Saccharomyces cerevisiae S288C: one gene and its partners. Changing the gene in region 2 together with the main gene of any one other region gives a genetic interaction. Each region holds a gene or a part of one and is shown on either strand. Other genes may lie near its edges.

Evidence for each region. A genetic interaction does not mean that the proteins touch.
Region 1: mutations in AFI1 (region 2) and STS1 together harm fitness more than expected from each alone (negative genetic interaction), as found in Saccharomyces cerevisiae (one large-scale study listed by BioGRID).
Region 3: mutations in AFI1 (region 2) and YGL114W together harm fitness more than expected from each alone (negative genetic interaction), as found in Saccharomyces cerevisiae (one large-scale study listed by BioGRID).

What each region holds. Positions count from the first base shown.
Region 1 is NC_001141.2:376,787-380,019, forward strand, and holds STS1 (Sts1p), read right to left. Parts: upstream 1,461-3,233; coding exon 501-1,460; downstream 1-500. Other genes in the region: MIND complex subunit DSN1, read left to right, coding at 1-375; SQT1 (Sqt1p), read left to right, coding at 1,700-2,995; GAT4 (Gat4p), read right to left, coding at 3,233-3,233. UniProt on the Saccharomyces cerevisiae protein: Involved in ubiquitin-mediated protein degradation. Regulatory factor in the ubiquitin/proteasome pathway that controls the turnover of proteasome substrates. Targets proteasomes to the nucleus and facilitates the degradation of nuclear proteins.
Region 2 is NC_001147.6:566,359-572,880, reverse strand, and holds AFI1 (Afi1p), read left to right. Parts: upstream 1-3,322; coding exon 3,323-6,004; downstream 6,005-6,522. Other genes in the region: YOR131C (putative haloacid dehalogenase-like hydrolase), read left to right, coding at 43-699; ORT1 (Ort1p), read left to right, coding at 2,074-2,952. UniProt on the Saccharomyces cerevisiae protein: Involved in actin patch polarization. Required for maintaining a proper budding pattern in yeast cells. Required for proper polarized localization of the ADP-ribosylation factor ARF3 at the plasma membrane.
Region 3 is NC_001139.9:291,618-296,137, forward strand, and holds YGL114W (uncharacterized protein), read left to right. Parts: upstream 1-1,842; coding exon 1,843-4,020; downstream 4,021-4,520. Other genes in the region: ubiquitin-protein transferase activating protein CDC20, read left to right, coding at 1-24; AMP-activated serine/threonine-protein kinase regulatory subunit SNF4, read left to right, coding at 416-1,384; SLD3 (Sld3p), read left to right, coding at 4,315-4,520.

The DNA of each region.
Region 1 (3,233 bases), on a different chromosome or scaffold from region 2:
GCGATCAAAAATGAAGTGAAAGAATGGGCAGTCACTTTAGACACTTCGAGACCAGATCTTGAATGGCAAGAATTGACTTCATTCTCATCACAACCACTGGAACCGTTGTCGGATACAGAAGAGCCAGACCTTGCGATTGCAGATGTTGAGACAAAGTTAGAAACAAAAGTCGATGAGCTAAGGTACCAGTCGCATATATTAAACTCGCACTCACTAGCCTTAAACGAAATAACAAATTCAAAAGTGAATAAATTGAACATAGAAACAATGAGAAAGATCTCAAGCGAAACGGACGATGACCACTCACAAGTGATTAATCCTCAACAGCTGTTGAAGGGATTAAGTTTATCTTTCAGTAAAAAACTGGATTTATGAAATAAAAGAAAAAATCAAAAAAAAATCGGATACTTCTGCATATGTAACATTACACAGTCATACATTTATATATACATATATATACATATTAATGTATTTGAAAAAGCAAAAGAACCATTCTATCCTTAGTTAAAGGGCGAATCAGTAGCAGCGCTACCACTATTGTTATTGTTTTCGTTTGCTGTCATGGTATCGTGGTGGTAAATAATACTTTCTTGAAGTGATAATGTTGATGACGATGCTGCTGAAGGGCTACCCATATCTAAAGATTTGAACAGCTGGAGTGGGCGTTCCAATAACCCATTTGAATGTTCATTGTATACCTGTAATCTTGTCATATGACTTTTCCAGACGGAGCTATTATCTGCTAATAAAATTATCCTGTCACGGGCAACATGTTCAATAAGCGTACACCATACGTGAGACAATTGTTCAATGCATTTATCGTAGTAGTAATTATTACTAGCTAATTCAAATCTGGGCAATTTGATAACTAATTCCGTGCAAATGTCTAAGAATTTTAATGATGCGTGCAAATTTTCCAAACGTGGTGGAATGTTATCCAGTATGAAATCCACCAAACAGTTTAAGAACTCCAGAATTTGAGGTTTCATTCTCACGAAAGCATAGTCATCTAATTTATTACTCTCATAAGACCTATTGTAAGGTATGCTCTGGTAAACGGCTTCTGATTTTTGTTTCAACATGTCCAGACACTTTTGTATACTGAAGTCTAATCCGATGACTCTCGTATGTACGCTTTGTTGTATTTCTGGATGTTTTGTCATCAAATCCACCAACAACTGCTGTAATTGGTTCTTGTTCATTAGTTCCATGCCTCGTTGCAAGGGCAGAGGCTGCCCTCTGATGAGCGATCCTGGCTGAGGCCTCCTCTTGGAGACGCCCCCATATTTCATCACATTCTTGTTACGAGGTAGTTCTTCCTCTTCTTGCTCCTCGTTGGCATACCGCCTTTTTTGTTTCACTCCAGCAGTTGGAATCATTACATTGCCTGTGCCTTGTGAACTGACTGTACTCTGTGTTATTTTACTGCTGGGTTTAAAACCCCATTCAAACCCCATCATAATGCTATACTGTCCTGTGTTTGTTGCTTTTGCCAGGTACCTTCGAACACACTAAGTGAGAATACTTGGTTAAGTATATTTTTAAGTAAGAAATTCCCACTCGCCGCATTATCACCCGCCCGCCGTTTCTTTTTCTGGCAAAATTTTCACTATGAATAACTAAAGAGATACATTCGATGGGCTTTAGATGAGGCCTTTTGAAGACCAAAACAGCACCAAATAGCGACACATTAAGCGTAATGGAACCTCAAGAAGAGTTTATAACTACCGAAGAAGTTGAGCAGGAGATTGTGCCCACTGTGGAGGTCGAACAAGACGTTCCCGTTGATATTGAAGGAGAGAATGACGACGATGATGAAATGATGAATGATGATGAGGAAGCTTTGGAGGTCGACATGTCCAACAACTCGCTTACCTATTTCGATAAGCACACAGACTCCGTGTTTGCCATTGGCCATCATCCTAACCTGCCGCTAGTATGTACCGGTGGGGGTGATAACTTGGCACATCTTTGGACATCACATTCACAGCCACCCAAGTTTGCTGGCACTCTAACCGGTTATGGCGAATCTGTGATTTCATGTTCTTTCACTTCTGAAGGGGGCTTCTTGGTCACTGCCGATATGTCGGGGAAGGTTCTTGTACACATGGGTCAAAAAGGTGGCGCTCAGTGGAAGTTGGCATCGCAAATGCAAGAAGTCGAAGAGATTGTTTGGCTGAAAACTCATCCCACTATAGCAAGGACGTTTGCGTTTGGTGCAACTGATGGATCTGTTTGGTGCTACCAGATTAATGAGCAGGATGGTTCTTTGGAACAGTTAATGTCTGGTTTTGTACACCAGCAAGATTGCTCTATGGGTGAATTCATTAACACCGACAAGGGTGAAAATACGCTGGAATTAGTCACTTGTTCTTTGGATAGCACTATTGTGGCATGGAATTGCTTCACTGGCCAACAATTATTTAAGATCACACAGGCAGAAATCAAGGGATTAGAAGCTCCATGGATTTCCCTATCATTAGCTCCGGAAACTTTGACCAAGGGTAACTCGGGTGTCGTGGCATGTGGGTCCAACAATGGTCTTCTGGCAGTAATTAATTGTAACAATGGCGGTGCGATTTTACATTTATCTACAGTGATTGAACTAAAGCCAGAACAAGACGAATTAGATGCCTCCATTGAATCCATTTCTTGGTCATCCAAATTCTCCCTTATGGCCATTGGCCTTGTCTGCGGTGAAATACTCTTATATGATACAAGTGCATGGAGAGTAAGACACAAGTTTGTTCTCGAAGATTCTGTTACAAAACTTATGTTTGATAATGATGACTTATTCGCATCGTGTATCAATGGTAAGGTTTACCAGTTTAATGCAAGAACTGGCCAAGAGAAGTTTGTTTGTGTGGGCCATAATATGGGGGTTCTTGATTTTATATTACTGCATCCTGTGGCAAATACCGGCACCGAGCAGAAGAGAAAAGTAATAACTGCAGGTGATGAAGGTGTATCTCTGGTGTTCGAGGTACCAAACTGATAGATAGTCGCGTATACATAAATAACAAAAAAACAAATTCAATAACATAAAATAAAAATACTTTTACATACAGAAGAAGAAACTTTATATATTCGACAAAGGAAAATGTAAAAAAAAAAAACACATTATTTTAAAAGAACTGCGCTCATTATCGTCGTTAACGATTTTATTATTACATGTTGAACGTTACATTGTCTTTTTGTCCCGATAGGTTGAAAGCTGAAAAAGTATAATGGGT
Region 2 (6,522 bases):
ATATATACGGTTCAATAGTCACTGAAAGTGTATCACAGAATAATGACAAAGCTACAAGGACTACAGGGATTAAAACACATCAAAGCGGTTGTATTTGATATGGATGGCACATTATGCCTACCCCAGCCTTGGATGTTTCCAGCAATGAGAAACGCCATAGGATTGGAGGACAAATCGATTGATATCCTTCATTTCATTGATACATTGCCCACAGAAAAAGAAAAAAAAGAAGCGCATGATAGAATAGAATTAGTTGAGGCAAAAGCCATGAAGGAGATGCAACCGCAGCCTGGTCTGGTTGACATAATGAGGTATTTGACGAAAAATGGTATTAGCAAGAACATATGTACTAGAAATGTCGGAGCCCCGGTAGAGACTTTTGTTAAAAGATTTATTCCATCCGAGCTTTCGAGGTTTGACTATATTGTGACAAGGGAGTTTAGGCCTACAAAACCGCAACCAGACCCATTATTACACATCGCCTCGAAGCTAAATATAAGGCCCTTGGAAATGATCATGGTAGGAGATTCATTTGACGACATGAAATCCGGTAGATCTGCTGGATGTTTCACGGTATTACTCAAGAATCATGTGAATGGACATTTACTGCTCGAACATAAAGAACTAGTAGACGTTTCAGTAGAGGATCTTTCCGAAATAATTGAATTGATTCAAAATATGAATAAAGAAAGTTTCTAAAAAAAAAAAAACTTTACTTAGATATGTACATATGATTGAAATACCATTTTATTCTTAGATGTTTTTTAGAGCTAATATAGTAGCTATGGCGGAATTACCTTGATTTTTTCGGCATCACAAAGTTCGAGAACACATCAAATCAGCAAAAAAATCTCCGCGACGGGGAATTGAACCCCGATCTGGCACGCGACAAGCGCCCATTCTGACCATTAAACTATCACGGATTTTAATTGTTGGGTTAACGGTGTTTTTATTAATACTTGTTTCATATGATTTGAAAAAATAAAAAAATGTTGCAGCAAGTGATCATTAATGTCAATATAAATAATGATGGTAGCAAGATGAGTGTTTACGTTAATGTACATTTCATATACTGAGAAATAGGTGAATTTTCGGGATAATCGTTAGGATTTCATTATTGTTAAGGGCTATAATTTAGGTATATCGAATATACGAGAAGTTCTGCACGATGATATAGGGATCCATAAAGGGAACCAATATTTCTACGTACCTGTTACTTCTCCCTCCATTTTATATTTTTCATCATTTTATGACGTTATCAAATCCTTGCATTTCAGTTGCCATTATACTTTACCATTGTTTTTCGATTTTATGTCATCTTCTTACACCGTATGACAATATACCAGTAGTATGAATATCAGTCGATGAGTGAGTTGATTTTTATTCGAACATACACGTTTTAACGTGAATGTACTAAACTGCTAACTGAGCATTTCGGACAGTGCTGAAAATAAGTTAAAGATCTACGCTTTGGTAGTTATGTATACGAGTCATACAATTCGTCACATTAAATGTATAGTATCAAAGACAGTATTATCCACACTTAATCTTCATTAATACTTATCAACAAAAATGAAGCACTCATCTGACTATATTTATATAATATTGCCGACCAAAATCCTTGTGTTTAATTCCAAGTGATTTAGCACCAATCCTATTCCATCCATGCAGGTGCTGTTGCTGCTGGATCCGTGTTTTTGACCAGTCTTAATGAAGCACAACAGCAGCCTACCCTTTTTGTGGACCATATTAATGGATACAATGAGTACTTAGCACGAAGAAAGCGTAGCATTGTAGTTTCATCGTTGCAACTTAGTCCTAGTACGTTCCAGTTCTGCATCGTGACTCACCTTGAGCTCGAAAAATGTGACATATACGTTTTCCGCTGTGGCCGCTGTGGCCGCAGCGTCAAGAATCGCCAATGATAAGTTCTCTGCTCCTGGCGTCGATAGATTCAGAAAAGTGTGAAATTATCGAAGCACGGGTATAGTTAATTGTTAAAGCGTAGATGCTTTGTCGTAGAAACTTTTCTTTAACCTATAGGGAACTCAAATTCTGGAAGGTCAACGTATAATGGAGGACAGTAAAAAGAAAGGATTAATAGAAGGCGCTATACTCGATATAATAAACGGTTCCATTGCAGGCGCCTGTGGTAAGGTGATCGAGTTTCCTTTCGATACTGTGAAAGTCAGGTTGCAAACACAAGCATCCAACGTGTTCCCAACAACATGGTCTTGTATAAAATTTACTTACCAAAATGAAGGAATAGCACGAGGGTTTTTTCAAGGCATTGCTTCACCTTTAGTTGGAGCATGTCTGGAGAACGCGACATTATTTGTGTCTTATAACCAATGTTCTAAATTTTTAGAAAAACATACAAACGTTTCCCCGTTGGGGCAAATCCTGATCTCTGGTGGAGTAGCGGGTTCATGTGCTAGTTTAGTTTTGACACCCGTGGAGCTGGTGAAGTGTAAGTTGCAGGTTGCGAACTTACAAGTTGCATCAGCTAAAACGAAACATACAAAGGTGTTGCCTACAATAAAAGCAATTATAACTGAGAGAGGATTGGCAGGATTGTGGCAAGGGCAATCGGGCACTTTTATTCGAGAAAGCTTCGGTGGTGTTGCCTGGTTTGCAACCTACGAAATAGTTAAGAAGTCGTTGAAAGATAGGCACTCCCTTGATGACCCAAAAAGAGATGAAAGTAAGATATGGGAACTACTTATTAGTGGAGGGAGCGCTGGATTGGCATTCAACGCCAGTATTTTTCCTGCGGATACTGTGAAATCAGTAATGCAAACTGAACATATAAGCCTCACCAATGCGGTGAAGAAGATATTTGGCAAATTTGGACTAAAGGGTTTTTATCGAGGACTGGGTATAACCCTTTTTAGGGCAGTACCAGCAAACGCTGCAGTTTTTTACATCTTTGAGACTCTTTCTGCACTTTAAATACAATAAATCGTGTAATAAGCAAGTATGTAACATTGATAGACAGTCTGTAATACCATTTACTGATCAAGAATGTCGCACAATCTCAACAGCCAGGCTTTGTGTTAGTATTTTGTGTTTTTTACAACAACCTCTCGACTATTGTATACCAGTTTCTTGCATAGATGCTACTATTCTCTGACAGTAAATTATCTAGTCAGGACTTCGGATTTAACTAAATGCAAAAAAAAAAATGATTCGAATGTAAACAAAAAAAACTGTCTAGGTAGCAATGGTTCTTCTATAAAAGTGCAAGCTCTATAAAATCAAGATCAAGCATAGTACCGCCCACTGTTAGAGTCTTTGGTACGCAAACATTTTTGGCTACCGGATGTTGCGAAGAGAACTAAATAACTCTATCAGCAACAGGTCGATAGAAAATGAATCCTTTCCTTTTGAAAGGCCGAATGTCAGCTATATAATATCCGCAGAATTTGATAATAAATTAGGTCCTATTTTGAAGCACCAATACCCGAAAGATATTCCAGGTTTCAATCAGTTCTCACATGAGCAACGCAACGGCAATACGTCGGTGTCTATGAACTTGGCAAGTTTAATGATACCGAGTAGCATAGAGAGAAATCCCGGCAAACAAGATATTACAGTGTTTACCCTTTATTACAATAAGTTTACTCAAAACTATCAACTCTTTCCTGTGCCAAAAGACCCTCGTTTCAGTTTCAATCTGCATCATCGTGAACAGTCAGATGGTAGTGTTACCAATAGCATATATTACGATGCCGAAAATCATCAAGATGCAAAAAATAATAGATACACTATTGTCTTGGAAGATGATGAGCTCGAATGCCAGGAAGTTCAGAATAATCAGAAAGCCATCGACAACGAACCTTTATTTTTCATAAATGTCGCCAACACAGTATTAGACACCACGAACGATAGAGGGGCAGTAATCAAGTCGATTGCCATCGGAACACCATTAAAAACCTTCTTTGCATTCAAAAATATTATTGTATTAGTGTTAGACTTGTATATGAAAGCTCCCACTCAAGCTGCTGCTACAGACATACTGCTTGATTGCTTTAATATGCTAAACAGTATTGACCTTACATTGATTAATGACATACATTCCAAAAGTAGTATACAAGAAGTGCTACACTCTATCCATGACGAATCTATCATTACCAAAGTATTTTTAGACCCGGATTCCACTTTAAAGAAACTCTTTTGCATCAATGGATTTGACACTAAGGACAAGTATGGTAACATTGTGACTTTTCATGACCAACTCATTCAATATCATTTTACAAGATTTCAGCCAAAGACGCTCCCGCCATTTTTGTTAAAAATCCCATTGCAATTTAATATGATTAGAAGAGAGCCTATTTATATTGAAAATGATTATAATGAACTAGTTTTAAAATTTTTGGATAAATTTGTCCCTTACCTTCTTAAAGCCGGACAAAAAGTTAATGCATGGAAGTTAGTCATCAATTCAACTAAACTGAGTAAAGAAGACCTATGCGCTTTTATTTTGTCATTAGCCAACATAACGGCAACTTATGCTAGCGATCCACAATCATACTTCAAAGGAAATGCTGCGTTGATTTTTCCCTATATGGACATTTCTCTTGTTGACGGTTTGCGGGCGTATGTAGCATCGAATAGTGATTTTGTCGGATGCTTTGCAATTATCGGAACTGCCAATCCAATTTTCCGATACCAGTTAGATATCTGGGATTATTACTACGATGTGGATGAGGGAGTGTTTTATGAAAATAATAGTCCAGAAAAAGAAAAGCCAGATACAGTGGCAGAAGTGAAGATTGGGCCTAACCCTTTGAGAAAGATATTCAATAGGCCTCATTTCTCAACCAACGCAGTCAACGAAAGTCAGGTAAACTTGGGCCAGAAGCTCTTTTCTCTTCTTATCGACGAATATCATGATAGTGATACTATCATGAGCGTTTTGAGAAGGCTGAATGTTCTTCAGTTGGAAAACCTTCTGGACGCTTTGAAAAGACGAGAAATTCCACCTAATATAGCACTAAAAGATGAATATATCATGTTTTATAAAGATTTTTTCATTTTCCCGGAGTTCTTTGATTATTTTACACTGCATAGTATTGAACTATTGTCTAACTTGGATAATTGTTTATTTAGCTTAGGAAACACATGCCAGTTATTTTCCACAGAGCAAATATATTCCCAATTAAGCCAAATATTGGACATTGTTAAAGAGCTGTTTCGCATGGTATCGGTAAGCAGGACAAACATTGAGAAGTTTTTAAACGCTTGTTTGAACTATTCTCCGTTCAAAATATTACCCACAGCTCAGTTACACGGTGATAATATTTCTAGGTGGAGTTTTGAAAGCGAAGTGCGTCAGGGTTTCGATAATTTTAACAGCTATATGGGCATCGAAAAAGATCCCCACGGTGTTATAGTATCAGCAATAGATCTTTTTACTCAAATTTACAGTTTTGATATCTTGGCGTTTTTCCTCACATTTATTACAAAAGAAAGTGGGCAGGATTTGCCCTTCACAAAATCTCTGTCCAGGAGAAGAACGTATTTGACCAGAATTGCTCAATCTTCTTCATTGAGACAGTTTTTACAACTGAGTACACGCCCTAATATAAGGATTCTGGGAGGTAATGGGCAGGGTACTGGAAATTCCAATTATCCCGAATTTACAAACGCATCCTCAGTCATCTCACCCAAGCTAAGGGCTTCTCCTCTACTAGAAAGAAGGGCGTCAAAAATCTGCTATGCTATTACGAAATTACTCTATAGGTTAGAATGTCATCCCATAGGTATGGCCCTTTTAAAGAAGTATCTCCACAATCAATTGCGAGAAGCCTATCTAGAATCAAAACGACACTTTATTTCCAAAAAGGGAGATTCGACCAACACTTCCTCTACCATTGCATCATCATCTTTCGCTGGCGCATCTGTTCCTCTATCTTCAAACGAATCAGGAATGCTAAACGGCTTGAAGCAAATTAACGAACAACAAGAATCTACATTAGAAACCACTCAAAAGGAAGACTAGTAACGCCGTATCGTGATTAACGTATTACATAAGTTACAGGATTCATGCTTATGGGTTAGCTATTTCGCCCAATGTGTCCATCTGACATTACTATTTTGCATTTTAATTTAATTAGAACTTGACTAGCGCACTACCAGTATATCATCTCATTTCCGTAAATACCAAATGTATTATATATTGAAAGCTTTTGACCAGGTTATTATAAAAGAAACTTCATGCTCGAAAAAGATCATTTCGAAAAGTTGCCTAGTTTCATGAAATTTTAAAGCAGTTTATATAAATTTTACCTTTTGATGCGGAATTGACTTTTTCTTGAATAATACATAACTTTTCTTAAAAGAATCAAAGACAGATAAAATTTAAGAGATATTAAATATTAGTGAGAAGCCGAGAATTTTGTAACACCAACATAACACTGACATCTTTAACAACTTTTAATTATGATACATTTCTTACGTCATGATTGATTATTACAGCTATGCTGACAAATGACTCTTGTTGCATGGCTACGAACCGGG
Region 3 (4,520 bases), on a different chromosome or scaffold from region 2:
ACCAGCCAATATTTGATCAGGTGATAAAATAAAAAAAATAAAAGTTCATGTCAAGGCATATAATGAAATTTCCATACACGCATACATAATGTATAAACATAAATGTATTCAAGAAGCTTAAGAAATAAAAGTAATGAACCTTGAGAATACATCAAGATATAACTCATCACATGTTAAAGAACCCACACACCACACGCGCGAGAACTGGGAGGGAGAGAAATTTAGCAAATAACAAAATTTAGGCCTTGGAAGAAACCATAGCAATGCAATAATCGTTATTAACATAATATCTACATTGAGAACTTCTTGGGCTAGTGGTTTTGCTGCAAACTGGAAAATTGTATCAATCTTTTAACGTTAGCTAAACATCTTCTGCTGTGTTAGCATTAGGAGGAAGCGAAAAGGAAAATACATAATGAAACCGACACAGGATTCACAAGAAAAGGTTTCTATTGAACAGCAGTTAGCTGTAGAATCGATAAGGAAGTTTTTGAACTCGAAAACATCTTATGACGTGTTGCCTGTTTCTTACCGTTTAATTGTCTTGGACACCTCGTTGTTAGTGAAGAAATCACTGAATGTTCTTTTGCAAAATAGCATTGTCTCTGCGCCATTATGGGACTCCAAGACTTCCAGGTTCGCTGGACTTCTAACTACTACAGATTTTATTAATGTCATCCAGTATTACTTCTCCAATCCAGATAAGTTCGAATTAGTAGACAAATTACAGTTAGATGGATTAAAAGATATAGAGCGTGCTCTCGGTGTTGATCAACTAGATACAGCTTCAATTCATCCTTCTAGACCCTTATTTGAGGCGTGTCTTAAGATGTTAGAATCAAGAAGTGGTAGAATACCACTGATCGATCAAGATGAAGAGACACATAGAGAAATTGTCGTTAGTGTTCTTACGCAATATAGAATTCTGAAGTTCGTTGCTTTAAATTGCAGGGAAACACATTTTCTAAAGATTCCAATTGGGGACTTGAACATTATTACGCAAGATAACATGAAAAGCTGTCAAATGACCACTCCGGTCATAGACGTCATTCAGATGCTTACCCAAGGTCGGGTTTCTTCCGTCCCTATTATTGACGAAAACGGCTACTTAATCAACGTATATGAAGCATACGATGTCCTAGGCTTGATAAAAGGAGGCATCTACAACGACCTGTCATTGAGCGTCGGAGAAGCCCTTATGAGGAGAAGTGATGATTTTGAGGGTGTTTATACATGCACTAAGAATGATAAATTATCTACTATTATGGATAACATCAGAAAAGCAAGGGTGCATAGATTCTTTGTAGTTGATGACGTCGGACGGTTGGTTGGTGTCTTGACGTTAAGCGATATTCTCAAATATATCCTTCTAGGTAGCAACTGAAACGAGCCGATGAGATTTTTGTGTACATACTATAAATAAATGCAACTAATAAAGTCATGATTAATCAGTCATGCATACTTCATCTGACCAATATATTTTCATCTTGCTTATTTTGGGTATAATTCGGCGGAAATTCGGTTATAAAGCGAAGTGAAAAATCGATTAGTAATGATACTGATGCGATCTCTGGGAGGGGGGAATGCTGCATATAAGGGTGAAGGAAGATAATGCAAAGCCTTTTGTAGTATTGTCTGTTGATACCAAAATAAATTAGTTCATCAAAAAGGTACAGGCAGCTAAAGAAAAGCTGTAAATTTAACGCCGTAGAAGGTATTTTTCGTGAGATCTATCTCAAGGCATCATTTTTTTTATTTTCGCACCAAGATAGGAAGAAAAAGAGTCACAGTATAGAGGACTAACCGTTAAAGATTCTAAATCGGTACTGTAAATACTTTGAAATGCCTCAATCTACTCCAAGTCAAGAAGTACAGCGTGTACCATGGGATAATAAACCTGCTTTGAAGCAGATAACACTCCGAGCAACCATAGCAGGTATCGCTATAGGGTCTCTGGTGCTAACATCAAATTTTCAATTTGGCCTGCAAACCGGTTGGGTTTCCATGATGTCCCTGCCATCGGCATTGTTAGCTTGTGCTTTCTTTAAAAATATCTGGCCATTAATATTTCCGAACGACAGGCCTTTCAGTGACGTTGAAAATGTATACGTACAAAGTATGGCAGTAGCTGTCGGAACAGGCCCATTAGCCTTTGGGTTTGTCGGCGTCATACCTGCCATCGAGAAGTTCCTTACTAACGACGAAAGTGGTGGATTAAGGGAACAAGGACAGTCCTTCACTTTTAGAGAATTGTTAATATGGTCCACAGCCCTAGCATTCTTCGGTATTTTTTTTGCAGTTCCTCTAAGAAAGCAAGTAATTGTTAGAGAGAAACTTCCCTTCCCCAGTGGTAGCGCCACGGCCACTTTAATTTCAGTGCTAAATGGAACTGAGATTTTACAAGAGGTTTCTAAGTCAGAGTTATTGGAAATGAGGCAGAGGAGATTGAATGAATGCCCTGAAGTGCTACAACCCAACAGAGATCCAGAGGAGGCGGATTATTTAATGAACTCTTCTCATAGCGAACTTGGTGATTATACGGCAACTAGCCAAGATGGAAGTTCTATCCTTTCTACTGGCTCTGAGAACTACAGAGCGAATATTATTATTTTATTGAAAACTTTTGTTGTTTCTTCGCTTTACACCATGGTGTCATATTTTGTACCGGTAATACGGTCTATTCCAGTCTTCGGAAAATACCTCTCGAACAATTATCTCTGGAATTTTCAGCCGTCGCCTGCGTATATAGGCCAAGGGATAATAATGGGTCTTCCAACAGTATCGTATATGCTTATCGGGTGCTTCTTAGGCTGGGGTGTGTTAGCACCATTGGCGAGATACAAAAGATGGGTACCACCAGATGCTGATGTCCACGACTGGGAGGAGGGAGTGCAAGGATGGATTCTTTGGTCGTCGCTTTCAATAATGGTTGCTGACAGTGTAGTCGCTTTTATTGTTGTGACAGTGAAGTCCATTGTGAAATTTATTCTTATAGATGACAAAGCTGCTTTACTGAACAACATAATCGATGATACATTTCAATCTATGTTACTGGAGGAGGAACGCGCCATTAATAGCAGCAGAAGAAATACATATGTTGATGGAAGGCAGGACACCGTAAGATTAGTGAGTAGAGATAACGAAATAGAAGTAGATTCGAAGCATTTGGTTCGCTATACCACCGTTATCAGTGGATGTCTAGTCTCCTCGATAATATGCATTGTTTCCATAATATATTTGTTTGGGATACAAGTAATTCCCCTATATGCTATTATCACTGCTTTGATACTTGCGTTGTTTCTATCTATTCTCGGTATTCGAGCACTTGGAGAGACCGATCTGAATCCTGTGAGCGGCATTGGTAAGATCTCTCAATTGATTTTTGCCTTTATCATACCAAGGGATAGACCTGGATCAGTGTTAATGAACGTGGTATCGGGAGGTATTGCAGAAGCCTCTGCCCAACAGGCGGGCGATTTAATGCAGGATTTGAAAACGGGGCACCTCCTCGGCGCCTCCCCAAGAGCTCAGTTCTGTGCCCAATTGATAGGGGCCTGTTGGTCAATTATTTTGTCTAGCTTCATGTATTTGTGCTACAATAAAGTTTATTCAATTCCGAGTGAGCAATTCAGGATACCGACAGCAGTAGTGTGGATAGATTGTGCAAGACTAGTAACTGGTAAAGGGCTCCCTGATAAGGCCTTGGAGTGCTCCATGATTCTCGGAGTCATATTTGCCGTTTTATCATTAATCAGAAACACTTATAGAGATTACGGATACGGGTGGATATTATATATTCCGTCTGGTGTAGCAGTCGGTGTTGGTATATTTAATTCTCCCAGTTTTACAATTGCAAGATTCATCGGCGGGTGGGCTTCGCATTTTTGGTTGAAGAATCATAGGGGTGACTTAAATGCGAAAACAAAAATGATTGTATTCAGTTCGGGGTTGGTCTTAGGTGAAGGTATCTTTAGCGTAATAAACATGCTCTTCATCTGCTTAAATGTCCCTCACTATTAGGTATATAATATTTTACTAATAAAGAATTTACAAAGTTTACAAATTTTAAATTATTTACTCATCACATAATTCGATGTCTTAGATTTCCCTGTATATATATTTCTAGGTGACAAAAATCCTAGGCAAAATGTTATATTATACGCGACCTTGAAATATCGGCTATCTTGGTGTACAACATGGTCCATTTAAGAAAAATAAAAAAAAGTGATGGGCACTGTTAAAACAGGCAGAAGCCTCATTCATAACTGCTGAAGGGTTAAGATCGTATAGGTAGGAACGATCTGACCTCTCATAATGGAAACATGGGAAGTCATAGCATCGGTAAAAGAAGCAACAAAAGGCCTTGACTTGAGCTTAGATCATCCACTTATTATTAAATCCGAGGACGTGCCCAGTAACATTCTCCAATTACTGCAACAGAAGAATCGACGTCAATTGAAACACATCTGCATGAAATCAAGAAAAGAGTATTTTCTACTAGAGGAATATGGGCCAGGATT